3 linked regions of the Caenorhabditis elegans genome follow. The protein of the gene in region 1 interacts with the protein of each later gene in a pairwise test. Each region holds a gene or a part of one and is shown in the gene's direction. Other genes may lie near its edges.

Region 1 (12,268 bases):
CGTTTTTAACAACTTCCCCCACTGCCCTGATCAGATCCCTAATCCCACCAAATCATTCACCTCTCTGCTCCGTCTCACTCCTTAAAAAATGGTGGGATAAAAAAAAGAGTCGCAGAGAAAACCCGCGAAAAAAAATAGGGGTAAAGAGTCCCGCCCCTTGACACGCAAAAGCATGAAAATGGAGAGAGAGTGTGTGTGTGTGTGAGACGTCTAACTGTCTCGTCGCCTCTCCTTTCATCGTTTTGGCTCTTCCTTTTCTCTCTCTCGTGCTTTTCCCATATATATCGAACAGATGTGGTCTCTCTCTCTCTCTCTCTCTCTCTTTCACCGGGAAGAAGACGAGCTTTTCCCCCTCATCTCTTCTACTCTCTCTCTCTCTCTCTCTCGTCACTCAGTTTGCTCCTAAAACGGCTCCCCGAGACACACAACGCCTTCTATTCGGTGCTGCTCCCCCCGCGTCCACTCCCCTCCGCCTCACTTATTTTTTGCTCTTTTCCTTTTTTTTTCTTTGAATTCTCTATTCTGCCCTATTATCTTTTCAGTTTATATACAAGTAACCACGTTTTTATTTCTTTTTTTAGACTTGAAACTTACTTCAGTTACCCTCTGTCCTGTACAAAAAATTGTCAACTGAGAAAATATTTGTCATCTCTTTCTCTATTGTTTTGTTGTTATACATTAATTGATATATTTGAAATATGTAACCAAAAATATAAAATTTTAACGTAAAGTGCAAAAGGAAATACGGGTAATCTAATTAATTTTTTTTTTTGACTTTTCAAAACTTTTTTCCACTTTTTGAAAAAAACTACAACACTGTCATGTTCAAATGCCATAGTTAAACTTTTCAAAAAAATTTTGAGCATTTTTATTGTCAGCCAAAAAGTGGCAATTACTGACTTTTTGCCACTTTTATTTTAGAAAATAGCACTGCCGACCATTTATATTTGAAACATAAGTAAATCATAAAATTCGAAGGAACACTTTTTATATCGACAACTTCCAGATAAGTGGCAAAAACTGGTAATCTTCAAATTCCCAATAAATCAAAAAATTTAGATTTTTTTCGAATTTTTTACTATAATTTTTCGAATTTTTTACTATAATATGAAATTTGGTCATCAAATGTACATTTTTCGAATATAAATGTTTTTTGTTTAAAGTTGTAGTATCGTCAAAAAAGGCCTAGTCTAGTCTATATTTTAGTTTGTTCAAAAAAAATTTCAGTCAAAGTTTTGGTAAATTGCCGAATTAAAACGTACACTAAAGTACGAAAATAATAGAAAAACATTAATTTTGGTCGACTTCCAAAATTTTTAACACCAGGTTTTGACCACTCGAAAAAAATTCCCCTTTTTTTGAAAATTGTTAGTATGAACTTTTTGTGCAATTTTTAACAATCTTCATTCTATATAATTTTTTTTAAGTTTTAATAATCTGATAATTTCTATTTAAAGTATATTTTTCCCATTTCTCCTTTTTAAACTTTTAATTCGATTTTTAAATTCTCATTTTTCCTTTTCCAGACTTTCCATCAAAATCTCTTTCTTGTCTCTTTCCATTCACATGACTTTTTGACAGTCCAACAATAGGAACCACTTTTCGTGTCGAGACCTGTCAACAGGAACAACAACATGACTAAGGACAGGTGAGTCAATATTCTTGAATCAAGATAATGATGCACAAATTTTAGATTGTCCGCTTTAAAAGCGGCGCAGTCCGAGGATGAGCAGGACGATGATATGCACATGGACACCGGGAATGCACAATATATGGAGGAGTTTTTTGAGCAGGTACTGTAGTGGAAAAATTGGTGTCGAAATAAACAAAAATTATGGTTCAACTTTTTGAAAAAATACATGTAAATTTTTTCATTCAAGTCCACTTTAATAATTTGAAGTCGGCCAAAAAAATGTTTTAAACTCAGATTTTTTTAAACTTCAACTTTATTTCAATTAATTGGATTGGAATTTTGTTAAGAAATTCTCGAAATGTTTTTTTTTGAATTCCACAATATCTGAAAATTTTTAAAAATAGTTGATAATTTTGAACTATTATATAACGAGAACACAACATTCTGAGAATGCGTATTGAGCAACATATTTGACGCTCAAAATATCTCGTAGCGAAGGCTACAGTAAGTCTTTAAAAGACTACTGTAGCACTGGTGTAGATTTACGGGCTCGGTTTCGAAATTTATCGATGAAACATTAAAAAAATTTTTACTTGTGAAACTAAAGAAAATAGCGCACGTAAATCGACACCAGCGCTACAGTAATCATTTAAAGAATTACTGTAGTTTTCGTTACGAGATATTTTGCGCGTCATATGTTGCGTCATATATGCGTGATATGTTGTGCAATACGCATTCTCAAAGCGATTTCCAAACTGTAAATATTTTAGAAATGGATTTTGAACTTCTCAAATTTTCAAAAAATTCTACTAGTTTGAAAAACAAAACAAATTCCAAAATGTTCGCAAATTCTATGACCAATCACACAAGCTGTTCAAATAGTTGAGAAACAAGAAAAAATGAAACTCAATTTTGTGATGTATTTCAGTGACGTCCCCCCCATATTTCGCAATCTTTTTTTTTGTTGCTCTCTTTTGTCAATTTGCCTCGATTTTTATATATGTGTCATTTCGGGTGTCTCTGTTTCCCATGAGGGGGCGATTGAATATTCATAGTTTTTGCGCAACCGACGGCGACCTTTTTTTCAATTCATAGAGATATATAGATTCTATGGAATTTTGTTCTAGGAGCTCTCTGTGGAAATAAAAATGTTTGGGGTTGATGAAAATGGAAACACTTTAGTTGAATTTTTTTTGCAGGTTGAAGAGATTCGTGGAAGTGTGGATATTATTGCGAATAATGTTGAAGAGGTCAAGAAGAAGCATTCGGCAATTTTATCAAATCCAGTTAACGATCAGAGTATGTTTTAAAAAACTGAACTTTTAGAAAATTGATTTTTCAGAAAAATAAAAATATCGAAAATTTTCGTTTTCCAGATCTTTCGAAAAAATACCTGTAAATGTTGGCTTTTTTTTTTCTTTAAAAAATTATTTTTTTAGGCTTGGCCTTAGGCTTAGGCTTAGGCTCAAGGTTAGGCTTACGCTTAGGCTCAGGTTTAGGACTAGGCTTAGGCTCAGGCCAAGGCTTAGGCTTTTAGAGTTAGGCTTAGGCTTAGGCTCGGCGAGGCTTCGTTTTAAATTCTCCAAGAAAAGATCTGGAAAACAATTTTAAAAAGTTAAAAAAAAGAAAATTTTCATTGTTTCGATTTTTTCGGAAACTAGCTTTGAATTGTGACTCTTTTTTTTCTTTCAGGAAAAATTTTGTGCGTGTTTTCTCAGTAAAATAAACAAAGTTAGATTGAATTTTTTTAAAACAGTTTCGTTAAAAAAATTTCGAAAATAAATTTTTTAAAAAATTGTTGAATGGATAAAACAAGGTTCAAAATATTGTACTTTTTGAGACCCCCAAAAATATGCCACAATTTCAGAAACCAAAGAAGAACTCGACGAGTTGATGGCAGTTATCAAAAGAGCTGCGAATAAAGTGCGCGGCAAACTGAAATTGATCGAAAATGCCATTGATCACGACGAGCAAGGAGCCGGAAATGCGGATCTTCGAATTCGAAAAACTCAACACAGCACATTATCGAGACGATTCGTCGAAGTGATGACTGATTATAATAAGACACAGACTGATTATCGAGAGAGGTGTAAGGGACGAATTCAGAGACAACTCGATATTGGTGAGCTTTTTTTAAAACATTTTTATGGAAATTTTGCGAAGCAAAAGTTGTTAAAGTAAAAAAATCTAGAATTTTGGAGCACACCTGAATCATGGTGCTCCCAATGTCTGCTACCTGCCTACAAGGCGGCTTACGCCTACGACATATATGTATACCTGTCATAGCGCAAGACGAACCCAGAGAACATCGGACGCTTCAAAAAAATTTTTGTCAGGCACACCGACTAGTCGAATTATAAGTATCGTAGGCAGGTAGGCAGGCAGACGTGTAGGCCTAACTGGGGCAGGACAAAATTTTTCCTGACATTCTGTGCCACTAAATTTTGGATCAGTTTTTAAAAAAATTCACACAAAATTCTAATAATCCATTACATATTTTTTCAGCTGGAAAACAAGTCGGAGATGAGGATTTGGAGGAAATGATTGAGAGCGGAAATCCGGGAGTATTTACACAAGGAATCATCACAGATACCCAACAGGTTTGTTTTTTTCTAATTTAAAATTTGAAACAAAAAATTGAAAATATTAACAAAAGTTATTCCAAATTCGTTTTTTTTTTTGGCTTAAGCTTAGGCTCAGGCTTAGGCTTAGGCTTAGTCTGAGGCTTAAGCTTAGACTTAAGCGTAAGCTTACGCTTACGCTTAACCTTGAGCGCGGGGAGGCGTCCTTCCAATTCTCCAAGAAAAATTCTGGAAAAAAACCCAAAAAATGTTAAATAATTTTTTTAGGCAAAACAAACGCTAGCCGATATTGAAGCTCGTCACAATGATATCATGAAATTGGAAAGTTCAATTCGAGAGCTTCACGACATGTTCATGGATATGGCTATGCTTGTCGAATCTCAGGTTTGTGGAATTTTTGATATTACAAGTTGAATTTTCAAAAAAAAATATAGGTTTTTTCTAACAAATTTCTTAATGTCTAGTCTAAGGTAAAATAGAAGAGGTACTTTCCAACCAATCAGCGTCTTCGAGTCCGCCCACCCCGCCTGATTGGTCGTGTAATTCTCAGCTTGGAGGAAATTCAAATAATTAAAGAAAAATCCTGAGCTTTTCCAGGGAGAGATGGTTGATCGAATTGAGTACAATGTGGAGCACGCGAAAGAATTTGTTGATCGAGCAGTAGCTGATACGAAGAAAGCCGTTCAATATCAGTCGAAGGCGCGAAGGGTTCGTTTTTTACGTTTTTGGAAAAATTTAATATTGTAACTCTATTTTGCATGGATATACCTATATTGAGTTTTTTATTCATCAAAATTGATAGAAAATGTGTCTGGCAGCTGGGAAAATGTGGGTTCTAAAATTCCCAGACACGAGAATTTTTATAAATTTATTAATACAAACGGGTGTGTGCCTTTAAAGAGTATTTTTATTTTCATCGACTTTTCATAGTTTTTCGGAAACTTTTTATTTTCGCACAACAGTTTTGCATTCAACAAAAAATTGTCGTGTCAAGACCAACACGGCCCGGTAAGCAAGTGGTACATCCATGCAAATGCGCTCTACTGATAATTTGAGTGTAGCCAGGTTTGGGCGCGTGATAACGAAAAAAGCTTTTGGTCCAAAAAAAAATTCGAATCTATTTTCGGACATTTTTATGCATCACAAAAATATTGGACCACCCGTTTTTGAGATAGATGCGCCCAAACGTCCAGGTATACGGTAGACAAATTGCGTACTCATACAGTTTGCCGGGCCGTGAGTAGGAACCGTATTTTTGGCACAAAAGTCGGGCAGGAAATGATTCAAACATCATACCTCACGCGCAACATTTTTTTATGAATTTGAAAGTTTATGAAATATTAGAAAGTATAATGATATGATCTACCATTTTTCAAGTTGCCGCCGCATTTTTTTTTCAAAAAAATATCGATTCAAAAATTGATTATTGTACTGTATTAGTGATTCGTGGTGTACATCTGTAATGTTCCAGATGAAATGCTATATATTTGTGTTAATTGTTGTCATTATTCTCGTCATCGTCATTGCTGTCGTCATTTGGGTTATTGTTGCGAATGCTTCAACTTCTGTTGTGTTACCCTCAAAAACCTCAAGCTCCTCCACATCGAACACGTCTTCTCAACGTTTTCGTGTTCGCTGAAAAATTGTCATTGATTTTTTTTTTCTTAAACCCTCTTGCTTTCAAAATTCGGGGAAAATATTAATATTGGTGACGGGAATTGAGTTCAATTTTTCAAATCAATTTCTCATATGGGGGCTTTAATTTATTATGTTTTAACTTACTTTGTGTTGTCTCACTCTCTCACTCAAGTCTTTGTATTACGGGAGCATAAAATTCTGAGAATGCGTATTGCACAACATATTTGACGCGCAAAATATAACTATATCTCGTAGTGAAAACTACAGTAATTCTCTAAATGACTACTGTCTTTTTTTTGCTTAATATTAGTATTCTATCGATAAATCTCTTCAGTTTAAAATCGAGCTCGTAAATCGACACCACAGTAGTCAGAAGTTTTCGCTACGAGATGTAGTTATATTTTGCGCGTCAAATATGTTGTGCAATACGCATTCTCAGAATTTTGTGTTCTTGCATTTTTTGGAAAGTTTGTTGTTAGTTCTCAGCAGAGCGTGTTTGCAGACCGTGGACCTCCTGTGATTGTATTTTTTATTGTGATTGTCATATATTGTCCTGTGATGTGTTTTTTTTTTCGTCGTATTTTTTGTCGTAAACCATAAATGTTTCTCTCTAACCTATTTGTCCATTATTTTCAGAAGAAGATCATCATTTTGATCGTCGTCACCATCCTAATCGGCTTCGTTTCTCTGTGGCTCATTCAGTATATTCCTGGCATTTAAGCCCATTTGTTTCCCCGTCTAAACGCCCACGCTAAAAAAATTTCAAAATTTCAAATTCTATATGACAACAAAAACGGCTCCAATAATGAACCAAATTCGCTTGTTTTCTCTGAAAATAAGGGCTAAATATATCTTTGTAATTAGAGCATTAGATTAAATAGAGCAAACTTTTATTATCAAAAATATTTAATTTATTTATTATTTAGTTTCTTTCAATCAGGTACTTTTTTCATAATTAATCAACTTATTTTGGAGAAAATACTATTTGAAAAATCAAAGTGCAAACCCGCTCCACGGCCAAACGTCCCGCCTTTATAAATTGGGTCTCGTTAGGTATTTAGCGCGGCAACATCAGGAAATTCAAACGTTTTCACCCAGTTTTTCGTTGTTTTAAATATTTTTGCTGTCAAAATAATTTTTTTAAAAATCAATAAAAGCAATAGAAAGTAATTGAAAATGTTTGAATTTTCGAATTTGCCGCGCCAACTTCCTCACGAGACCCATGGTTTCAGGGCGGAGCGTTCTCAATTAGCCGTGGAGTGCGCTTGCGTCAAGGTTATATTACCGAATCTTGGATTTTTGCGCCGAAGCAAGTCAAATACAGTACCGGGTCCCAACACGACAAAGTTGCGTGCCATACAGAAATGTGCTGCGCCTTTAAAGATTACTGTAGTTTAAAACTTGTTTTTTCGAGGAAAAAAATTTTTAACTTATTACGGGAACACAAAATTCTGAGAATGCGTATTGCGCATCATATTTGACGCGCAAAATATCTCGTAGCGCAAACTACAGTCATTTAAAGGATTACTGTAGTTTTCGCTACGAGATATTTTGCGCGTCAAATATTTTGCGGAATACGCATTCTCAGAAATTTCTGTTCCCGTAATACAGTAATCTTAAAGGCGCATACTTTTTCGCGTTTAACAAAAACACTTATCGTGTCGAGACCGGGCAAAAATCACTGTTGATTTATTATCATAAAAGTACCCGAATTCCCGAACAAATTAATATTATTTTTCTTTTAAAAAAAGCCTAATTATTTCGCAATACATCCTGTTTTTGTATCTCCACTGCCTTTTGACCCACTTTTCGCGCGCTTTTCACACGTAAATCTCACCCCCGTTCTCTTCGACCAAGCAATAGTTCTTTTTAATATAAAAATTAAATTTAAATTACAAATTATTTCATTATTTTTTAAAATTAGAATAATATCGATCTCAAAATGGAAGCTTAAATATTTATTAAAAATTGTTTTTTCTACAAATTTTCAAAACTTTAGGATCCTTCCAATTTCTTACTGTAAGAAATTTTAATTTTTTTTTCAATTTTTTTTGCCACCCATTTCATGTGTTTTCTGTTCACTCACCACCAACCAACCAAAAAATTAATTAATCAATCAATAATAATAACAATAATGAATTTCTGAATCGCTTTGAGATATTTTTTTTGTGCAATTTTCTTACTAAAGCTAAATTTCAGAAGAAGATTTGCATCCTTGTCACCGGCGTCATACTCATCACTGGCCTAATTATTTTTATTTTGTTTTATGCGAAAGTATTATAAATTTTTTCAAATCTCGACGAAAAGAAAAACTTAACCAAAATGAAAAAATTGAGCAAAAAATACAAGAAAATTGGGAAAAAAAGTTAATGAAAGACTTGAGGGAAAATTAATGAAATGTAGTGGACGAAAATTCCTGAAATAACTCGGGCGGAAAAATGATTGTTTAGAACGGAAAAATTGTAAAAAAGAAAAAAGTTAATGAAATGAGTGTGTTTGAGGGGGATAGAAACTTTACAAAAATGAGCAAAAAATGATTTTTTAGAACAGAAAAATTGTAAAAAAGAAAAAAAAAGGAAAAAAAAGTTAATGAAATGAGTGTGTTTGGGGGGAAAAGTGATATTTTCAGGAAATTCAATTTTCTTTTCAAATCTCAAAAAGAAAAATGAAAAACTTTACAAAAAAGAGAAAATGGGCAAAAATAACAAACTCGAGCGGAAAAAAAAATGAAAAAAATTAATGAAATGAGTGCAATTGAGGAAACATGAATAAAGTCGGAAGAAAAGGGGAGATCTTCAGGGAAAAAAGCAGAAAAAAAGATTAAAAAGTTAATTGTCATACAGTGAATTAAGAATGAAGATGTATAGGGGAGAAACTTTCAGAATGCAGGAAGGGTTCCCATGCACTTGGTCGATTTGCACCTGAAAATTTACAATTTTTAAATTATTTTTCAGCTTTCCAGAATTTTTTTTTCAAATTCAGATATTTTTTCGTACAATTTTTTTCTGATTTTCTCTGGAAATAGCGAAAAAAATATTCCATTATTTCAAAATTGAAAAATTATTTTCAAAAAAAAGTTGGACTTTTTTTTTCAATTCTTCGTCAAATTTTTTCGTAGTTCTTTTGTTTGTTGATATTTCTGAATTTCAGAATAATTTGAAAATATTTTGTAGGAAAATCCCAGTTCACTCCAGGAGTGGGCGGCAAACGATTTTTTTCGGCAAATCGGCAAATTGCCGGAATTGAAATTTCTGGCAAATCGACGAAATTGTCGGAATTGAAAACTTCTGGAAAATTGCCGGGATTGAAATTTTGGGTTAATTGCTGGAATTGAAATTACCGGAACATTGCCGGAGTTGGAAACTTTCGAATTGAAATTCCCGGTAAATCGAATTGAAATTCCCGGTAAATCGGCAAATTGCCGAAATTGAAATTTCTGGCAAATTGCCGGAATTGAAATTTCTGGCAAATCAGCGAAATTGCCGGAATCGAAAACTTCCGGCAAACTGCTGGAATTGAAATTACCGGCAAATTGTGGAGTTGAAAACTTCCGGTAAATCGGCAAATTGCCGAAATTGAAATTTCTGGCAAATTGCCGGAATTGAAATTTCTGGCAAATCGGCGAAATTGCCGGAGTTGAAAACTTCCGGCATATCGGAAAATTGCCGGGATTGAAATTTCTGATAAATCGGCGAAATTGCCGGAGTTGAAAACTTCCGGTAAATCGGCAAATTGCCGGGATTGAAATTTCTGGCAAATCGGCGAAATCGCCGGAATTGAAAACTTCCGGCAAACTGCTGGAATTGAAATTACCGGAAAATTGCCGGAGTTGAAAACTTCCGGCAAATCGGCCAATTACCGGGATTGAAATTTCCGGCAAATTGTGGAGTTGAAAACTTCCGGCAAATCGGCAAATTGCCGGAATTGAAATTTCCGGTTTTCAAAATTTCTGGCAATTGGAAATATCGGCAATTGCCGGTTTTGAGATTTTTTAGCAATAGGAATTTCCCGGTCTTCAAAAAAAAAATTGCTAAATGCTATCCACAACACCAGCCAAACCCCATTCTCATCGCATAGGGTCACCTATTTTCCCAGCGTTCCAAGTTCACATACGCCTAGCTCTACATATCCGCGTTTCCACTGAAATCGATCGGAAAAACGGCGCGTTCAGACAATCGTGAGCCTATGTCTACATGATATTCATTCATTCATTTTCTTTTTTCTTCATCATGTCAACCTCGTCATCTGTGTGCAACACTGACTCCACCACCTCCCCATGCTCTTCACCCGACTCGACTCCCATGTCGAGTCCTTCCAAGCCAAAGGTGAAATCTGATCGAGAAATTGCCAAACTGAAGAAGGACATTCACGTCTTTGCGAGAAAAATTAATGAAGAATGCGAGCGCTTCATCGATAATCATATAGAGGTTAACGGGGAGGAGGACGCCGTTAACCAGAGAATTCCGACCTTCTTCATCAAGAGCTACAACTTTTTGAAAAAAGAAGCAGAATCTGTGAGCTACGAGGATCGCTTTCTCGACTTCATCCCACAATGTATTCGAATGAAGGTGACCACCGAGCAATACGGACCCCCAAACTGTTTCCCCGAAGCCGACGAGAATGGATATCTCAAAGATGAGCCGAAACGTTTGGCGGACGAACTCGTTCAGTTCTACGTTGACGTCATCGAGTACGTTCGGTTTACGTTTGTCTGTACTGGAAAGATTCCGATCCTTCCACACTCGTACTACCTGACTCTCTTCGTTTATCAGAAGCGTGTCGAGGAAAGCACACTGTTCAACAAAAGTCTAGTGAGGATGATTCCAGAAGTCTTGGTAAGTCTCTATTGAATATATTACCTAATGATCTAATTCATGAAAAATTTTCCAGCAATCAATGCTCAATGTCGGAACATTCGGCAACCAAAATATTGGAATAGACTATGTTACAGACTGCACCAGAGAACACTACAAGTATTTGCTTGAGTAATCATTTTGTTGATAATAACAAAACGATTGTCACTATGAGACCTTAATTTTAAATTTCGATAATAAAGTTTTGCTTTCACTTTAGTGTTTTTGGTGTTTTTCTTGAGAATTTTTGAATCAAAAAATATAAAATACGATTTCTACAGAAAATCTGTCAACACTGACGCGGGAATTCAGTTTTTAATCACAGCTTGCTTAATTTAATAGATTTACTATGATTCGAATGTTTGTTAATTTCATGTCACTGCGAAACGAAAGAAATTGGAGATTTTAGCTAAAATTAGCCGTTTTTCAGAGAAATTGAACCGTCATAATTTTTTTTTTGGAACATTTTTGAGAATTTTCATCATATTGAGTATATTTTGAGCAATAGAAGGCTCACCGGCATTTGACACTCGACCGTTTCCACTCGATACCGGGCTCGTAGTATGCAATCGTTATCTCTTCTCCTAGAGCGATGTCCTTGATGGCATATACTGCAACACGTGGAATCAGTGGATCTTCTTCGAATCGTCGACTGTAGACTTCGACGAACACCGAGCTGGGGTCACAGCTGTGATTGATGAATCGGGAGATATTCCTGAAATAATTTTTTATTGCAAAAAAAAACGTGATTTTGGTTTACTCTAGAGGGGGAAGACTTCCATTTTTCCATCAGACTTCAAAACGAGAAATTGTCATTCGAGAGTATTCCCCATTTATTTTTGGATTTTTCGTTGGTTTTTCGGACAAAAACCAAAAAACTTTTTTTTTTGGTTTTTGAAGAAATTAAATTATTTGTGGTATCGGTTTTTCGATTTTTTATAAATCTAAATATCAAAAATGTTATTTAAAATAACTTATTTTTTCGTTTTCCAATATTTCGAAAATAATTACCATAAAATTTTGCACGGAATTCTGGCTTCCCTCATAAATCGAAATGGCAGAGTTTGCCGAACTAGCCATTTTGGGTCGGAGAGATTTTGTGTAGATTTACGGCGCGTTGTGTGTCGCGGCTCGTTTTTAGTTGTAAAACTGATTTATTTGTCCGTGTGGAGTACACGAAACTTTTCCACGCGTTGTCCGGCCTGGCGATGGTAAATGGAGCGCGAAAATTCAATGAGGAAAGCCAGAACCCCGTCATTTTGTAAATTTAAAGTCAAATTTTGTTTAATGTGATGGAAATAATAGAAACTTCTTCTACAAAAGAAGAAAATTGGCCAAAACTTTAAGAAAAATCAATTTTTTTTAAATGGAAATATCGGGAAAACGAAGCAAAAATACGATTTTTTTTTCGTTTTTTGGTCCAAAATCAAAACAATTTTCGTTTTTCGGTAAAAGCGAAAATTGAATTTTCAGCGTCCGGCACACATTTTTCGATTTTTTCGATGAAAATCGAAAAATCTAAAAAATGTTCCAAAAATCAACCATAAAACATGATTTTTCAT
Region 2 (9,342 bases), on another chromosome or scaffold:
CGCCATCTCCTGCTTTTGCTTTTTTCCGTTTTTACTCTACTCCTTCTGACCCCCTCTCGTTTTTTTCTATTTTTCTTGTTATCTTGTTTCTTGATTTTTTTTGAATTTTGCCCCGTTCGTTCCGCGTTGGACAATTTCTCGTTTTTGTTCCGTATTATCCGTCTATTTTTTCTGAATATTGATGGCACGTGGCATGTCAGGTAAGGGTGATGGTAATGGAATAGACAATGTGGGTTTAATGTTTAAAGCTAGGATTAGGCCATACCTAATCCAAGAATAACATTTTCACATGTCTATCCCTTAAAATAAAAAAGGAAGTCTAGGATCAGGTTTCAGAAAAGGTAAGAATCAATTGGATCAGCGTGAAAAGTGGTGTTTGATGGCTTTTTTCGTTTTGGAGATTGGGAAAAAGGGTCGTATTTCTGAATGAATTTTTGATGAGTTAGTTTTTTTCCTCTCTCGGAAAACTTTAAAACTCGAAAAAAAGAATGAAACACCAGATTATTTTAAATTTCAAATGGTTTTTTTTCAAGAACTTCTCTATATTTTTCCATATATTCAACTTTCCATTAAAGACGATTGAGCTAGGCCTACCACGCAGATATTAAAAGTTAATCTTGAACGGAAGACGATTAGAGATTCAGATGACACTTGGGGAAATGATGATGACTGCTTCATCTTCTATCCCTTCGTATCTTCAAAGTGAGAAAACAATTTTTCATTCTGCAAAAACAATCTCTTTTGGCGATTGAATTTTTAAAAAAAATGACGCTATGCTAATTTTTATTCCTAGATTTATTTTTCTAAGATGTTCCAGTGTGTTAAACATTTTTAAAGAAAAGTTTTGCAAGGAAACCATTTTGAGATTTAGAACACCTTTCTTCAAATGTTCCAAAATTTGTACGGAAGAACGAACGCTTTTACTCTATCAAGTTTATGTATGTATACTTTTCACTAACAAATCAGTAATAAAAATTAAAAATTATTGATTTATTGATTTTTAAATTGAAATCAATCGTTGTTATGGAATTTTTCACACCTGGGCTATTTCAAATTCTAAGTTATTACAAGCTAACACACTGTGGCTTTCTCGACATGAGCAAATTGGAAAAGTTCAAATCCACCAGAATTGATGAATATTTCATTTAAAGCTTTTTATCAATGCTCAAATGTTTTTTCCGCTCGAATAAATCTAACAAAAAATGACGATGATGAGATGGTGAGATGAAACAAAACGTTTTTCTTTTTGGTTCTCTTTTTTCCTTTTAAAAGATTATATTAAAGATATATTATAGCTATATCCAACTCATAAAACAATTTTGTTGTACAAAACTTTTATTTTCAATTTTCCGATCAAAAAATTTATCCATAAATAGTGAACAAGTGAAAAACAATTTTCAATTATTTTTCAGCTGTTTGATTTGTGTATTTTATGTGCAGTCGCATTTTATCGATCATCATTGTCCGTCCAAAGTTATTCAAAATATTTTTTGAAAAATTAAATCGCATTTTCAAAAGGTTTCTGAGATGCAAATGATTTCAGATTGTAAGTTTTCATCAAGTGATTAGAAATTTTAAACTCCCGTTTTGAAATTTTGATTTCATTATGGCTTCAAATTTCCTTTCAAAATATCAAACCCTTCTCATCTGCTATGTTATAATGATTTGTTTTTTAGTTAGAGAAATGGTACAATTTGATATTTGTTAATATGTAAACATTTACGTCAACATGTCAAAGCGTTATTGTAACTTTCGAGAAATACGAGAAAATTGTTTCAGTTTGAGAAAATTCGATGCAAAATGCTCGAAAATGTCGATAAGTGTGCTGGGTTTTTTTAGAATTTAGAATATGAAATATTCAGACACAAAATTTCTGAGAGAATCTTCATCTTAACCGTTTGATGCATTACGACCATCCATTTAAAAACTTTTTGATAATTTTTGTGACTGATCCTTTTACAGATTTTCTTCTTCAAATATAAAAATTTCAGAACTAATTTTCGATATTTAAAACATGCTGGAAACTATCTAATTTCCTAGAAAACATCTTGATAATTAAAAATATCTTTTTCTGGAACACAACCCTTGAAAATGGGTTCTTCGTATGATTTTAAAACCTCATCGGAACACAGAATTTGATATGAATTCCCATAGCAAGTCTGTTTTGAAGCATTGAGTGGCATCTAGGTCTAGAAATTGGAATGGAGAGCACTAGAGCGTGAGAACCGTCCACATACACAAACACATATAAACGTCCTCCTATTGTCCATTTCTGAAACCCAATTGGTGAAAAAGTAAGAGAGAGAGAGGGACACCAAAAGAGAAATTGTGGTGAAGGGAAGAGTGGTGGTAGTGGGTGCAACTATCTCTGGGTTCTCCGAGAATTCAGTGCTCCGTGCTCCTCTAGCTTGGCTCCGCGACGTCTTCTGCTACTCCGTCCTCAATTTTTGCGAAGGGGGGAGTGGCGAATAGGGGGTAGAGAGCGGGAGCAGAAGAAGAAGAAAGCACAAGCTCATCCAGTCGCCGTCTCCACACTCTCCGTTATACTTATTCCGGTTCTCTGCGTCTATTAGTTTGAATCACTATCTCACTGGTTTCTTTAGTATATACTCCAAAAAATGCTACTTTTTCGCGCATTTTGCGTTCGTTTCTTTTTTTGGACTTTCTTAATCAACTTTTTTTGTGGTTTGATCAAGATTTTTTCGTTTAGGTTTGGAATTTTAGACAAAAATTATATTAAAGAGTTTACAGCTTTTTTGTCCATAAGAAGTTCATGTTGAAGTTTTGTTTTTTTATTGTAAAAATAATGTAGCACCAGTCAGGATTTTGTCAAAATCAAAAATAAAAGTGCTTAAATGAGACCCTAAAAAATTGTTTCAGATTTTTCAAATGTTCAGTCAAAATGATGTTATACTGCCAAAATTTAATTTTGCAAACTCTTTAATTTTTTTGACTGGTAACAAAAATTTCGTTTTTTTAATTTCGTTTTTTTTTTTTTTTTTTTGAAAAAATTTTCACTATGTTCCACTTTTGAATGTTAAAATCACTGAGTTACTAACACATTCTTGAAATTTTCTCATTTAAAGAATAAAAACAACTTTGACAAGAGAAAGAAGTAAAACAATATAGTTTTTCTAAACTTGTATTTACTTTTTAACCCAGTTTTTCGTATTTCATAGTAAAAAAAGTATAGAAAAAAGTGATGCATTTTTCATTATAATGCAGAAGGCACCTCGAGGCTATACGCATTTTCTTAGCAAAAAAAGGAGCTCATTTTTTCTGTATTTTATGACTTTTCATCATGTCATGCATATAATTTTTTATTCATTGTTATGTAGGAATTGAGAGTTTTGTTTTTAATTTAATTTTTATATAAAATTAAGGGGCTTTGAACACGTTCTATCTATAACTTTCTTTGAACAAAAACTACAAAACACAAATTTCAAAGATCTCTGGATCTGTCTGATTAGGCTGTTAGTTCTTTTGAACTTACTTACTTCTGCTTAATCCAATTATTTGTACCACTCATCACTGACCTTCAGTTTAACTTTTGTCTATAGGTTAAACTTGATCTCAAGCTTTAACTCTGCACCAGGAACTTGAACCTAAACCTGATCTCTAATTGATTCGCTAAAACCTTAAAATTCTGAAAATCCTGATCCAAAAACTCTCCAGGAGACCAAGTTGTTCTCGGCATTGGAACAACTGGTCGGCGGCGCGTACCCATCTGGGGAGGCCGCTTCCTCTTCAACCATCGCCCAAGAATATGCCACGTTTCAACAATCAGAAGGGATGGATGACGTTGGAGATTACAATGATGATCAACTTTCAGATGGCATGAGCATGAGGTTGCTCTGCATTACCAGTGAGTTGTTATTTGTGTTCTTCTTGCCGTCTCGAGAATACATATATACGAGACCATCGACACTCAGTTATGGACGAGATGTTAACATTGATTGTTTCAGTTAAAAAAGCACGACTTCAAGGAGCTGTCGGTGAGTATTTCTATTGATTTTATAACTTAAAATATATAGTTCAGTTTTCATTTAAAATAATTTATTTCGTTTGAAAAATACTGGAAATTCCCTGAAACTTGAAGTAGATAATGTAACAAATATTCTGAGAGTTCTGCCAATTTTTTGAAAAAAATCTGAAAATGTAACAGTGTGCCAGTACTGTTACAATTAGTCTCGATGACCATAGAACCAAAAGATGCTCCTGCTCCAAATACTTTTAAAAAATCATAGTCAGAGCTAACTGAAAATCAAGTGGCTCTTCCACTTTATGAATCATCACTTTATCTCAACAAAAAACTATTAACTTGCCAGATGTCTGAAATGTGGATCTGACTTTTTTTAAATGAAATGTCCACCTCCTTTGGGTGAAAGACTAAAAAATCTGAATAAATCCCTTTCTGCAAATCGAGAAACGATCATGCGTGGCGTTGCTCCGATTTGTAGTTGTCGCCTGAGAAATTCATCATTCGTGACACCTGTCATTCCAGTTTCACGGGGCGACCTCCCGAATAATAAATCTCATCGTGAAACGCGCGTTTTCATGCTTCGATGACACACGAAATAATGCACAACTTATACCTCAACATCACGTACAAGATGTGCTTAGTATTCTGAATGTATGTGTATGCACCCGCCTCTTCTATTTTCCCATCCCTTTTTTTTGGCAAATTTTAATCAAATTTTGGGACCTTTTTAGAGTAAGATAAGAGAAAAGAGTCGTTGAAGAGGCAGGAAAAGTTTAACTACATTCGTGAGCAAGTGAGTAAGTAAAAAGTAAGAAACCGGAAAAAAGTTGCCAGGAAATTAAACATAGAAGCACCGGGGGCACCTCTAAACAAGAGAGTAAGTCACTGGGGAAAACGTTTGAAATGGAATGACGAATGAATGAGGGCACCGGAGACGAAACAAGATACGGTGGACTGGAAGCTTAAAGACCAAGAAAAATGAAATGAAACTTAAACTTTGTTATTTATCATGTACGTTAAGCTCAAGAAAAAATTATGGAATTAAAATTTTAAAAAATTATTAAAAATTAAGCGAAACATATATTTCCAATGCTTTTGAAATAATTTTTGATATTTCATTTAATTTTGAGAATATAGAACAAATGTTTTCGTTTTTTTAAGTATTAGTAGTAAAGAATGTGTCTGAAGTTACACATATAGTTCGAAAAACCCCACATTCTAAACGTAAGTTGACAAAATCCCGCTAAAAGTACCCCATCTTTAAAGCATATAGTAAGAGCATATAGTAATAGTAAGAATACAACCAGCTTGTTCAAAAAATTTAACAAATCGTTCAATGTTTAGTAGCTTTTTACATTTACTATAAATCTCATGAGAAAGAACTTTAAAGATTCTTGATCTTTCACTCAAGTTTGAGCCAGAAATTGAGTTATAATTCACGTTGTTCTCTTTTTTTTTTTCTTTTCAACTAAAAAAAATATAGCTTCTTTTTTTATTGTTCCCCTGGGTACAAAAGTTTAACTGAGCGTCCCAGTAATTTTCATGAGAGCATATTTATAGTTAACGTGTTACATTCTAACTCTTGTTTTAGGACCCAATTGTTTTCAACTGTCCCATTTTTAGGATTAGCCAATAAGTTGTCCAGCAGTAAAAAAATTTTGAAGTTGCGATTTTATTTAGGATTGGAGAGATTTTGCAGATTTATAATCTTCTCTAGATTTTTTCAAATTTCTTTTTGGAAATGAAATCTCAACAACTTTTCACCTTCGTTTTACCAAAGTCTTATCAAGTTTTGATTTTTAAAATTTTGATTATCAAAACTTGGATTGAGTTGAAATTTTCTATAAATTTTAAAGAGGTTTTGTACAAGCATTAACGTTTCGCGCCCTCCCTATCATTAGAGCATGTTTTTTTTCAGTTTTTAAATTTTTGAAAAACAATTTAAATGCCTGATCTCAGATGAATTCAACTCGTACGTGACGGTGAAGCTGCAGACTGTAAAATCAACAACTGTGGCTGTGCGTGGCAACTTACCATGCTGGGAGCAGGAATTCATTTTGTAAGTTGTCATTGACAGGTGAAATACGGTAAAGGAGACCGATTTTTGTAAATGTTATAAAAAAAGAACAGCTGAAAATAGTAATATTTGATATTATGGAAGGAAAAATACCATTATGCGTAAATTGGTGTTATTTTGCCTCCTTTTTTTAGTTTTGGAACGTTTTACTTGTTTTTTTTTCATTACACTTACAATTATTTTATTAAAATAACAACAATTATATTTGAAAACCAATTAATCAAACATTAAGGTTTCAGCTAAACCACATCACCTCATATTTAATTAATTATTTCAGTGAAACAAATCGACCTGACGACGGAATGGTACTCGAATTATGGGCCAAAGGCGTTTTATGGGACAAATTAATAGGTGTTCATTATATGCCACTTTCGGAGATTAGATACAGGTAAAATTTTTTTTTAATTTCCAGTCGTCAGTTAAAATCACTCTAAAACCAATACTAAAATGGCAACATACTTTAATACAATTTTACGAAAAAATATGAACGTTTCTTATTTACAATGGAAAAGTGCAATTATTCAGTTTTCGCCACCTATAATTGTCGTAATTGAGCGGAAGTGGTTTCTAACTTTTAAAATTAATGTATCAGTTTTCTAAAAATACCCCATTGATTTTCAGCAATGCAGCAGGTTCGGGTCAATGGCTTCAAATGGATCATGAACTTGAAACAAGAAATGGTCAAACTGTAGGAACACGTGGTCCAACAGGTCATAACTTGTTGACTGATGTTCGATTTGAGCTTCCTTTTGGTGAGTGGTTGTTATTCAGAATTATAATTTCTTATAGTATGGATTTTTGTTGATATTCCCCTCCTCTGTGATTAAATCTTAATTATTTTATGCTATTATATATTCTTATATATTTCTAAATATATATATTCTAAAAGCCTGATCATGCTACTTGCTGAAGCACATTGAGCTAATTGCTGTTCATAATCAATTTACAATTTAACTTAATTAATTGCATTCAGAAACACCTAATCTAAACCAATTCAAAATTATCTTGATATTGTTCAAAACTGAACAAACTATTCAGAAGTTAGCGGTAACAAGCTCAAAATAAAAATTATCAGATTCTCCTGTATTTGCTGATAAATTCACAGTTGAAGTAATCCTTATCTTTAACGCTGAAAAATATTAGATAATATTTTACTGTTGAAAAAGTTTTGGAAAAACCAACGACAATTAAGATAAGAGTTGTCAATGTAAAGCAAATGGATGCAAGACTAAAATACGAGATTCCATCAGATTGATCCGTTGTTATTGATCATGCAACACGATAGACACACAATCTGTTACAGTTTTTTAGAATTTTATGAACATTTTCCAATATTCTAGTGAAACCTAATTGTTACCATAAGATTTCTGACATGCATTTTTAACCTAAAAATGTTACTGTCAAATTCCAAAACGTTCTTTCCCATAAAATTTTTGGAATATCTTTTTCTAAAACGCTTACAATTTTTTCTCTTTTCTTCTTTCTTTCAAAAACTGTTTCCTTCTATTTTTCCATTCACATCGTATCGGTTTCTTGACACGTCTTCTTCTCTCTTTATATTCCACGTTCCATCCGTTGTTTCTCCTCTGAACAATTCCAAGTGTACCTCATACATCAAAAACGTCGAGCACTTTAGGCTTCTTCGTCTCCATGATTCACCTGAGCCTTTCTAGTTCTCTTTTCGAAGCTCCGTGTTTCCTATACATTTTTTGAACCATTTTGCGAACAAAATTTGAAATAAAATAGAGAAGCAAATTATCAAAAAATTATAATGGTATCTTTTTTTCCTTTTCTTCCCTTATGACTCTTCATTAGTCAAGTGTGACATTGAAATTTCATTACAGCATGATAACTGACAAAATTATTTTTTGCATTTATTCTAACAATTTGATTTTTTGACTGGAATTTTTTAGATATGTCAGGTGGTTTAGTACTAGACATGTTTTGCAGCCAAAATTTTATGAGGATGACTCTAAAACTTCTGAAGCAGCTCGGAACCAAGTTCCCAGTGTAACCTTGATTATTCTTTGCATTTTCTAATTTTTTTTTTGCAAATCACTGTTTCAGTTTACATACTAATATTTGTTATTTTTTACTCTAAACGATATCCATGTCTCAAAGTTTTGTTTTGTTTTGTTGAAATCTCCATTCATTTGTTCAAAAATAGTTCAGTCGTTTCCAGTCAGTTACCGAAAGAAATCTGAACAAAAAAATCAAAATTTCTGAAAATTTGGAATAGCCGTTTTAGTCTTCATTTCTCGAAAAGAAATGTGAGAGAGTATCTGACAACGCTTCCCATGAGGGAATACTCTTGATACTTTGCACAAATTCGCCGCTCAAGAGCTCCGATGACAAAGAAGAAGAGGAAGAAAATGCAGATCACACAAGCAGCCACTTGTCTCTAAATCCCACTCAGATTCAGATAATTTTCAATTTTTAAAACTTTTAACTTCAAAGAACTTCTACTCAGAAGATGTCTACATTTTGAAATTTCCCGAGCTTCAATTGTTTTTTTTTCGAGTTTTGGTGATGCAGCTCAATTTAGTAAAAATACGATAATACCAAAAACTCCGTAAAACCTCGTTTTTGCTTCATTCCAATATTTTTGAGAAATAAAAATGCAACGGTGGTAAAATAACAGAGAATAAGGTGAATGTATTCAGATTTAGCTCGGCGATAAATCTTTCACAAAGCCCCCGGCCAAGACACTAATTACGAGCCGACTGACTCTGCTCCCCGTTTTTCGCTTTTCGATTTGCTCACAAATAATGCACGGCGGTTCTGGAGCTAGCTTCCAACGGTATCACGGAGTTCACTTTTTTTTGTTTTGGAAATCATGATGGTAGTTTTTCTTTTTAATAGGTTAAATCATAAGTTTGCTTGTTGCTTTTTGAATTTACAATTAAAAATGACCTTCCGTACTAAAATTATAAAATATATTTTCAAAAATTTTTGATTTTTTTATAGAATGCAAGTATTAATTCCTCAATTTTCGTCAAACTTAATTTTGGAAGTCGATCAAAAAATTATTCATCGGTTTTAATATTTTAATGATACTTTGATTATTTGTATGTCAAAATTGTAGGCTTTTGCACATCCACTGACCACTGACACATGACCATAGCAGTAATTTTTTAATCCTAATTTATTCGATAGTTTGACAATTGTCGAAAACATGACCGAAAACTTGAAAAATTCAAAAAAAAAACTCAGTTTTTAAATATGTTGGACTATTTTCTACTCATTTATGGGGTTATTCAAGTTATGTAGCAAAATGTATTTA
Region 3 (9,533 bases), on another chromosome or scaffold:
TTATCGAATTCCTTGAGAAAATCCACAGTGGAGTGCATACCGAGGAAGCTGTTTACACGATTTTGAATGATGATGGCTCTGCTAATTATATTCTCATGTTCTTCCGTCTCATAACTTCAGCATTTTTGAAACAAAACTCAGAAGAATATGCTCCATTCATTGATGAGGGAATGACAGTGGCTCAATATTGCGAACAGGAAATCGAGCCAATGTGGAAAGATGCCGATCATCTGGCAATTAATTCTTTGATCAAAGCCGCCGGCACAAGAGTTCGCATCGAATACATGGACCGTACTGCTGCTCCGAACGGTGGTTGGCATTACGACATTCCATCTGACGATCAACAAATTGCTCCGGAGATCACACTTCTCTATCGTCCAGGCCACTACGATGTCATTTACAAAAAGGATTCGACTGAAGCCTCTGAAATTGAGAATTGATTTCATTTTACTGTAAATTTTTCAACCGATTCTCTTGTCTTCTCTCCCGATGTGCTCTCTCTTTCTCATCACCACTCCTTTTTTCATAATCGTATTTATTTTGCCAGTGATATGCTAGATAAATTGCAAAATTATCTCAAAACCATGATTTATTAACCACTAATTCGAATTGTTTTTGTGTGGATTTCACTATTAACATACTACTAACATATTGTCCATGATTTGAAGAATTTTTTATTTAAAAATGTAGGCAGACAGAATGAGATCAATACCGATGGAAGAGGATGATTCGATGGACGACGCCGACGACGAAGGAAACTTGAAAATGGCAGTTGGAGCAACAAATACGAAGAAGAAAATGATTTATTCAAGAAAAATATTTGCAGTTGTATCTGTAATTTTCTTGATTTACGCTATCGGTAAGATTTTTTTTTAATTTCTAATGACATTAATCAAAAATCTTTTGCCTTATTTGACCCAAAATGCCCACATTTTTAACAATCTAAATAATTTTAAGGCGGCTCAAAACTCAAAAAAGACTACTTTTTAGCTAAAATTTTCAATCAATTTTATTAACTTTTTCGTAGCACAACCCCAGGAAATTGAGAAAATTAAAAGCCGTTAAAAATTTTTTTTTTGAAAAAACCCTTATTGATATTCAGCTTTCTTCGGTCATTTTGAATTTAATTTCAGCTCAAATTTATCAAAACTCAAAATTTTATTTCAGGAAACATGACGCTGTTCATCACACCAGGAGTTCGCGAGTTTGTCCAACAATTCAAGATCTTCCTCTATCTCTGCGTCCCTTTGCCTATAATTTCAAAAATCCTGATTTCTGGCGTCGAACGTGTTTCCCATCCACCGAAGCTTCATCTCATAATTCCAGTATTCCTAGTACATTTACTTGCGATCTTCCTCTCTGCCACCACTTTATCTCTAACTTTCGACACTGAACTCGTCTATTTCAGTTGTTTTATAATATTCATGAATACTGGCCAACTTGTATTTTATACACTTCAGAATTATTTAGTTTTAACCCCACTGAAAATGTTAATTCTTCTGATAGCCACCTCCTCGCTCAATTCAATTTTCCTTCAAATCCTTCTCTCAATCTTTGTTTTCCCTTACTTTGAAGTTGTAACATTATCAACAATTATTTCATTCTACATTCATTTTAACAATGCCTTTTTCATGAACCATCTCAGCTCCTGTGACTGGCCAGTGGCAACGGTTTGGATTTTTAGTCGCGTTCCTGTGTAATTTTTAAAAACTTCTTGTGTTTTTGTTTTTTTCGATTCCCTTTTATTGCATGCTTTAATGTATTAAAAATACAGAATATCCAATAAAAACTGAATTAAAAAAAAACAATTATATTCTTATTTGAAGATTCTAAATGGTTCTAAACCGCAGCATACGTTTTTCAGATCAGGTTTGAACAAATTTTTGAACATTGGTAATTTCAGCATTAATAGTATATGGCAAAATTCATTCAAAAACGATTATTCGCATCATACATCATCAGAAAAAACTACTACGAGATAATTGGAGTTTCTGCTTCTGCCACGAGACAGGAAATTAGAGATGCATTTTTGAAAAAGACCAAGCAGGTTTCAGAAAGCTGATTTAAATTTAAAAAATAAAACATTTCCAGCTTCACCCAGACCAGTCTCGAAAATCTTCAAAAAGTGATTCGCGAGTTGGATGGGCTACTGGTTCTTCTGAAACCGAACAATTTATGCTTGTGAAGGAGGCGTATGATGTTCTCAGAAATGAAGAAAAACGAAAAGAATACGATTTAGCGTTTAGTAGAGAAGGCGGTTTTTTAATGGAGGTATTTTATTAGAAAAGATTTGAGAATTATATATTTTTTCCAATTTCCAGGCGACGCATAAAACTCAAGAAATGTCAACTCAGAGGAGGAATATTCAAAGAGCTGAATGGAGTGCTGATGTGATACCTGATGCAAAAAGGAATTCGAAAAAAGTTGTATATTCCCATTTTAGGTATTAAAGCTAATTCGCTGGCAACAATTTTTCAGTAAATTCTTTATTTTTCAGAAATCCCGAAGATGAATACCTCCGGGAAAAGCAGAAAAATCGAATGCTCGTCGTTTTAGCAGCAACTGTCATGGCTTTAATAGGGGCCAATATTGTTTATATTAGGTTCGTATCCTGGTTATTTAGCATTAAACTTAATCTGTAAACGTTTTTTTTCCAGGAAACTACAAGCGGATCGCCTTTCGAAGCCGGTTTAGGATTTTCATTGTTTTGTAAAATAAAGATTTTTACCTAGATATGATATTTTGATTCGAAAATTGTAAAATAATTGTGTAAAACTTCATTGAAAATCAATTAAATACTTGAAATTAGCTTGAAAATTTAGTGGAAAACCAGAAGAGTACTGTAAGCGAATGTCTGCATTGTTGCGTGCCGGCCGGTGTTTGCGTACTCTAAAAATTTGTTTTTTTAAAGAATTGTTTTAAAGCTTTAAAGATTTTTTCTAGCTTCCTCTTGTAAATACTACTTACTATTCCACTCGTGTTTATACTAAATTTACAAATTTCTCTAAAATTGAATTTGTTTCCTTTTTCTCTCTTCTCCCGCCCGGCTCTTCGAAAAGTGCACTAGTTACTCGCCAAAATTTCTCTCTTTTTTCCTTTTTTTTCCAAAAATTTCTCCCTTGTTCTTTTGACGAGTTTAACCAGTCGAGTCGCCGGTATAGTCAACATACACTAAATTGTTTGTTATAGTTCTCCCTGCTCGAAAATTGAGCACTACCACTTCGCAGGTGCGAAAACCAAAGAAAAAAGAGCCCTTTGAGGTCTAATAATCGTTGACTGCATAGTCCAACCAACTTCTTTCATCCAGAAAAAGGGCATAAATCACTCATTGTTATGTCGTAAACAAAAAAGTTTCGCCTTCTTTTTCTCGGCCAAATTCTTCTGGAGAAAAAAACTCGTATTTTTTCGGCAATTTGCAAGCTTTCAACTGTTTTCTGTTCTCGTATCATTTTCTTATAGTTATTTCGATCATAAAACTGAAACAAACTTTCAATTTTGTCAAGGGGTCAAACTTTTTCGGGCGCATGTCTTGAGATAATTGGGCTAATAAAATTAGTTTTAGACCCAGATGCAACATTTTTCTTCAAATTTGTATGTTTCTTGTTAGACATCGAAAACTCAGTTTTTTAATGACTTTGGAGAGATAATCGTATTTTTTCTGATCATGTTACTTTTCTAATGAACCACACCTATTTAATTGTCAATGAACGTATCACGAATAGGTTTCGGGTTTCCACATTTCCAAAATATGTAAGCGTAAGCCAAAGTTCTGTCACTTTTACACTTACTCTTCTGGAAACTGCTTTTTATTTAAAATTTTTTTAAAAAATTTCCTCGTTTAAATTAAAAGTTGTATTAATCAAGAGCGACAATTGCCGTTCGGCAATTTTTTTTGTCGAAAAATTCGGCGAAAAGCCGGTTTGCCGGAAATTTTTATAGGGATTTTTTATAAGCCGGAAACGCTTAAAACTGTGCCTTTTTGAAATTTTTTCCCGTCTTTTCTAGATATTTTCATAGGATTTGCTCCCTTTTCAAAATAAATTTAGGAACATTCATAGGATGCGTACAAATTTGCGGATTAAAATTGAAATTCTGAAGTTTCAGAAAAAATTTGCAAAACTACAATTTGCCGAACATTTTTGGCAGTTGCCGTTTTTCCGGCAAATTCGACATTTGCCGATTTGGCTGAAAAAAATCGTTTGCCGCCCAACCCTGATATAAATCATTGGAAACGTCTTCTGAAGTTGGACCCAAAACTCAATCTCACTTCGATCCCCCATTCCTATATTAACTAGACGAAAAATGATTTCGTAACAAATAATTCATCTATTTTTGCGGCGAACCGATTAGATCGGAGAGGAGTGGACACAATAATATGTCACCGCACTTTTCCTTCATTCTTGCACATCAATCACTCCGATTCTCGGCTCATCTGTGGGTGTGTGTGAGGCGAAAAAAATTGGATACTTGTTTCACATTCTCTCTCTCTCTCTTAGTCTTCTTAGTCCTGAAAAGAATGGCGCCGCTGCTGAGAGAAGGGGTTTCGTATTTCTGTGTTGGGTCTTTTTTCTTTTTCTCTATATTCCACCCCACCAAAACTCCCCGCCCCGCAAAAGAAATGTACACTCATTTTGTTGTATCTCTTTCTCTAATTCTCTCTCTCTCTCATTCACTCTCATTGAGAGAGTCGGTCAGAGAAAGACAACCGGAGGGATCCAATACATATGCGGTTTTCCGTTGATGTCTCTGCGTCTCTATCCGTCTCTTTTTCGTCTTTAGTTGCCTTTGCGCGCATAGTGACTACTGCAGAAGAGAGCAGCAGCAGCTCTGTTTCTACTTCTTCTTCTCCCAAACAACGACGACATTTGGAGCAAAGGCATAGAGCATTCATTTAGTTTGGCGGCTGGAGCCCTCTAGCATCTCTCTCTCTTTGTCTCTGCATCTCTCCAACGTCGTCAGTTTGCCTTTTTCCTCCTTCTTTCTCCCAATTTCAATCCCAAAAAGTCGTCGTCGTTTCCATTCTTCTTTTCTCTTCCACACTTTTGTGTGTCATCCGTTTTTCCTTCACCAAAACCTTTAAAAGTACCGATGCGTTTTGGAGAGGTGGCAATGGAGGCTGCAGATCTGCGAGTACCGGACATTCCGCTCGCCTCGTGTGATGATGATGATATCGATAGTAATAAGAATTTGAGCAAGTGAGTTTTTTTTTTGAAGCTGTTGGTGGGAGAGTGCAAAAAAAATCTTGAATTTTGCTGGATACTAGAGATTCCAAACTCCCTCACAAGTTGGAATTATGATCGTGAAGGCTTGTGATCCTCCGGTCATGTGTAGATTTACGCAGTTCGTGTACTCCGCGAGGAAAAGCGTACATTTTTTTGCAAAGGATTTAACAGTTTTTAGCAAGAAAGCAGGATTTCGGACCATACCAATTAATTTTTTTAAATCCGAAGTTTAAAACAGTGTTTTTAGGTGAAAAAAAATTACGTGATAAAAATATAGAAAACTAAAAAAAATAGTTTCAATTCCAGATTTTTAGTCAAAAATATAATTGCACACTTCTCCTCGTGGAGTACACGAGCTGCGTAAATCGACTCATGGCCGTTTTAGAGGTTCACAGTATTTTTCATCAGATATTTAGGTTACTGTAGCAATTTTTTAAGCTCTGGGCCTTTAAGAAATACTGTAATGTTGTATCAATATGAATATCCCTATTAAAAAATTTTAAATTCACTTTTTTAATATATATTTGGAAACCACCTTATTTATAAATAGGTTGTAGAGGTTTTTTTTGAAAAAAAAGCTTATTATCGAGCTGAAAAATTCAAATTAAGAGGGCATTTATTGAAAAAAAAATCGCAAAACTATAACTTCCCACTAGATTTTTTTGTAAATTCCTAGAAAGAACATCAGTGCACTTCTTTATGGTCCTTCGAATTCCTAGAGAACAAGAAAAATTCGCAGAAATTTTCTTTTAGTGCTTCCCTAAGTGTTTCTGACATACGTTCGATGGCCTCGTTATATCTTTTTTCTATTTCGAACATGCCAATAAAACTGGGCCCCAATCCAATTGAACGAGCCAAGTGTTGTAGAGCAGCAGCAGCAGAGGAGAGGGTACTTAAAAGCTCATCTTCTCACCCCCTCACGGCCATCCACACACACACACACACACACACACATACCCCAATACACATCCAAAAGATACACATTATCTAATTATCGGATCTTCATACTATTTGGGGGTCCTAAAGAGGATGGGGTGAAGCTGAAGAAATACATATTATGGGGACGCAGAAAAAATATAGAAAAATACGCTTTTTGAAATCGAGATGTAAGCGCGCTCCGCTGCCAAGTCTCTAAGTGCCCCGCCTCTAAACTTTGGGTCTCGTTAGGTATTTAGTGGTAAAACTAGATTTTTCGACTTTTTGTTATGTTTTATGTTCTTGTTTAGGATATTTTTATATCGAAATTGATGGAATTATAATTCACACTTAATAGAAAATATGTTATCACTTCTCAACTTCATATGAATTAATAAATATCATTTTGACATAAGAATCATGAAAAACAATCAAAAACGCAACACAATGTCGAAAAATTCATTGAATACGGATGAAATCGGTTAAAAAATAATTTAAAACGTTTGAATTTCCTAACGAGACCCGACGTTTTGGGGCGGGACATATTGATTTGTCGGTGGAGCGCGCTTGCACTTCACTTTCAAAAATTGTTTTCTATTCTGCGTATCCATAATATGAATAGATGAAAGGATAAAAATTAAAAAAACTTGTAACTTTCAGCCATTCATCAGACGAGAAACATCACTGCAACAGCAACAGCGACGAGGAACGTCTTCATGACGAGTTCTCTGGATCCCTTGAGGTTGGACTTCTTGCATTGTCACACTCTTTTCAACATTCTTTTATTTTCAGGACCTTGTCGGCAACTTTGACGAAAAAATTGCGGCATGCCTGAAGGACCACGAGGTGACGACAGCGGATATTGCACCTGTGCAGATACGTACTCAAGAGGAAGTTATGAATGAAAGCCAGTGAGTTTTTTGGATTTTATTTGTGGATTTAAAAAAATTGGTTGAAAAATTAAAATTTGGGATCTAAAATTATTTTGTTAAAGTTCCATAAATCGTAAAAATTCATAATTCTGTTCAGAATAGCACCAAAAAATTGTAGTTAAATCCAATTTTTTAAATTAAAAAGTAAACTAATTTATAGCCTTTTTTCATAAAAATTAGTGAAAAATGGAGCAATTTTGAAATAATTTCTACTTTGGAACGAATTAAAAAAAACTAGCCCGAAAAAAAGCCATGTGTCGATTTACGCAGTTCGTGTAATCCGCAACTAGGACAATTTTACAGTTTTTGGATAATATTCTTAGTTTTTGACTATTTTCGCAAGTTCTTTTTGTATTTATCATTCAAATTGTTAATTTTCTCGCTTTCCAACTTCAAATGACAATTTTCGTAGCAAAGGTCTCGCCCCGCGGATAAGTAATTACTGTCACTTCTGTCAATCGTCAGGTTTTTTTAAAATTCTTATTTAGATTAAAATTCACTTTTTTTCAACTCAAGCTACAGTAATTCGTTATCCGCGTGGCGAGTGAGGTATAACAAAAAATCTCCATAGTTGAAGTAAATTTAGATCCTTTTCCCGAAAACGCTATAAATCAGAAACGGCTCGAAAATTTGAATTCAAAAGTTTTTTCGAAACAGCAGTAAAACCCTCCTCGTCGTGGACTTCACGAGCTGCGTAAATCGACACATAAAGTTATAGTCATTATTACATAGAGTGCCTATAAACACAGAAAACATATTATTTTCTTCTAAAAATAAGAAAAATGGCCAAAACTCTCAACTATTTTTTTAAGAATTCAAAAAAATTCGAAATATAGTGAAAACGAGCATTTTGGATTTTTTTTTAAAAATTAGTAGTAAAACATAAAAAATTTGTTTTTGAGTTTTTCCAAAAATTAAGAAATTTCTAAAATTGCAGAACATGGTGGACATTAACCGGAAACTTTGGAAACATTCAACCTCTCGACTTTGGAACCTCTTCGATATGTAAAAAGATGGCCGCAGCTCTGGACAGTGATTCATTGGTGAGCAGAGGGTCCCCGGATCTTTTTGTTATTCACTTTGTCTTCCTTTTCTGTTTTTACTATTGCCTTCTTCCACCATCAACGTTCTTCTTGTTTTTCCATCTATCTTTTCCACTATGCTCATCTCTCACGCTCATCGTCTCCAGCTCCTTCCACTTGAGCATCAACACTTCTTCTTCTTCTTCTTTCTCTCTGTTCTCTACAATCGATTTATAGCACTCACCGGAGGAGTCAGAGAGACAGAGAGAATAAGAAGAAGGCGTCGAGAGCCGATGCTCAGAAAACTCTTACTATGTGGAGAGCGGTGTCCATTAAATACCACCCCTTCTTCTTTTTTTTTGGGCAGTTTTCAATTTCCCGGTTGTCATTATTTGAAATATGCGACTACCGTAATCATTTTCTGAAAGATCACGGGATTCCAATTTCCATCATGTTTGGAATGCGGAATTGACTTATTTCAGAGTTTTTAAGTTTTAAATTAAAAAATTTTAATTTTTTACATTCATATTTTGGGGAAAAAAATTAACAAACCAATTTGTTTAAAGAAAATGTTTGTTGTTTTCTTCAGAAGCAAAAGCGTCATCGAAACAGTTTCAATGTGGCTGACGAGAATAAACTTTAAAAAAATTTACTATTAAAAATGGGAAAAATTTTAAGCTATTCTCCGAAAATCCTACTTTTTTTTCGAATTATCAAAAAACCCAAGTGTACTCCCCGAGGAAAGCTGTTATAATCTTGGATAGTATTCTGGGGTTTGAACATTTTTTCGCTATTTATTTTTGTATTTGGCAATTAAATCACCAATTTATCTTTTATTTATAATTTTTCCACTGAAAATTCAGGAACTTACCGCTGAAAACTAGTTAAAACGAGATTTTGTTACTTTTCAATGGTGAATGCATTTTTTCAGATTTTTTATCTGAAAACTGTTTTTATAAAATAGATTGGCAGGTTGAACAACGGAAATGCTTCAGAATGCCATTTTTAAGTCAAAAACTTGAAAAGCCTTCTCCTCGCGGAATACACTAATTTTTTTATGAAATCATTTTTCTCTTAACTCTTACAAATTATAAAAAAAAACAAGTTTACTTTCTAGCCCTGTTTTTTTTTTTGAAAATCTGAAAAAAGTCAAAACCTAGACATTCCTCTAGTTGACCTTTGTTTGTCTTCCGGTTCACTGATTTCACTGGATTCCCTGCTCTTTCCCTAAATTTTCCCATTTGCAAATAAATTCTCGTTTGTACTTTTTTCCAGAAAGACGACGCATCTACACGCCGAAGTATGACAAATTCCGATGATGAGGATCTTTTACGACAACAAATGGATGTTCATCAAATGATTGGACATCATCATGGATCTACGGATACTGGTGGTGAAACACCTCCACAGACTGCTGATCAAGTTATCGAAGAAATTGATGA

What was found.
Region 2: the proteins of unc-64 (region 1) and unc-13 interact in a two-hybrid assay, tested with the Caenorhabditis elegans proteins (2 studies listed by BioGRID).
Region 3: the proteins of unc-64 (region 1) and unc-76 interact in a protein complementation assay, tested with the Caenorhabditis elegans proteins (one study listed by BioGRID).

The regions. Positions count from the first base shown.
Region 1 is NC_003281.10:13,275,735-13,288,002, forward strand, and holds unc-64 (Syntaxin-1A homolog), read left to right. Parts: upstream 1-1,524; 5' UTR 1,525-1,634; coding exon 1,635-1,648; intron 1,649-1,693; coding exon 1,694-1,793; intron 1,794-2,832; coding exon 2,833-2,932; intron 2,933-3,500; coding exon 3,501-3,755; intron 3,756-4,138; coding exon 4,139-4,233; intron 4,234-4,482; coding exon 4,483-4,599; intron 4,600-4,812; coding exon 4,813-4,923; intron 4,924-6,489; coding exon of another isoform or gene 6,490-6,573; exon of another isoform or gene 6,574-6,606; intron 6,607-8,052; coding exon 8,053-8,136; 3' UTR 8,137-8,153; downstream 8,154-12,268. Other genes in the region: Histone-lysine N-methyltransferase set-25, read right to left, coding at 8,732-8,774, 11,224-11,421; F56A8.8 (NR LBD domain-containing protein), read left to right, coding at 10,083-10,688, 10,744-10,842. UniProt on the Caenorhabditis elegans protein: Plays a critical role in several secretory processes, including cuticle secretion and neurotransmitter release, and probably assists in neuronal membrane maturation or the final stages of neuronal differentiation.
Region 2 is NC_003279.8:7,418,993-7,428,334, forward strand, and holds the start of unc-13 (Phorbol ester/diacylglycerol-binding protein unc-13), read left to right. Parts: upstream 1-3,792; coding exon 3,793-3,865; intron 3,866-3,965; coding exon 3,966-3,995; intron 3,996-5,941; coding exon 5,942-6,041; intron 6,042-6,336; coding exon 6,337-6,447; intron 6,448-6,680; coding exon 6,681-6,811; intron 6,812-9,342.
Region 3 is NC_003283.11:15,066,775-15,076,307, forward strand, and holds the start of unc-76 (UNC-76), read left to right. Parts: upstream 1-4,985; 5' UTR 4,986-5,109; coding exon 5,110-5,195; intron 5,196-6,797; coding exon 6,798-6,879; intron 6,880-6,929; coding exon 6,930-7,048; intron 7,049-8,006; coding exon 8,007-8,112; intron 8,113-9,366; coding exon 9,367-9,533. Other genes in the region: otub-1 (Ubiquitin thioesterase otubain-like), read left to right, coding at 1-440; C25D7.10 (TPT domain-containing protein), read left to right, coding at 700-859, 1,168-1,700; dnj-3 (J domain-containing protein), read left to right, coding at 1,916-2,047, 2,092-2,271, 2,322-2,443, 2,498-2,602, 2,658-2,694.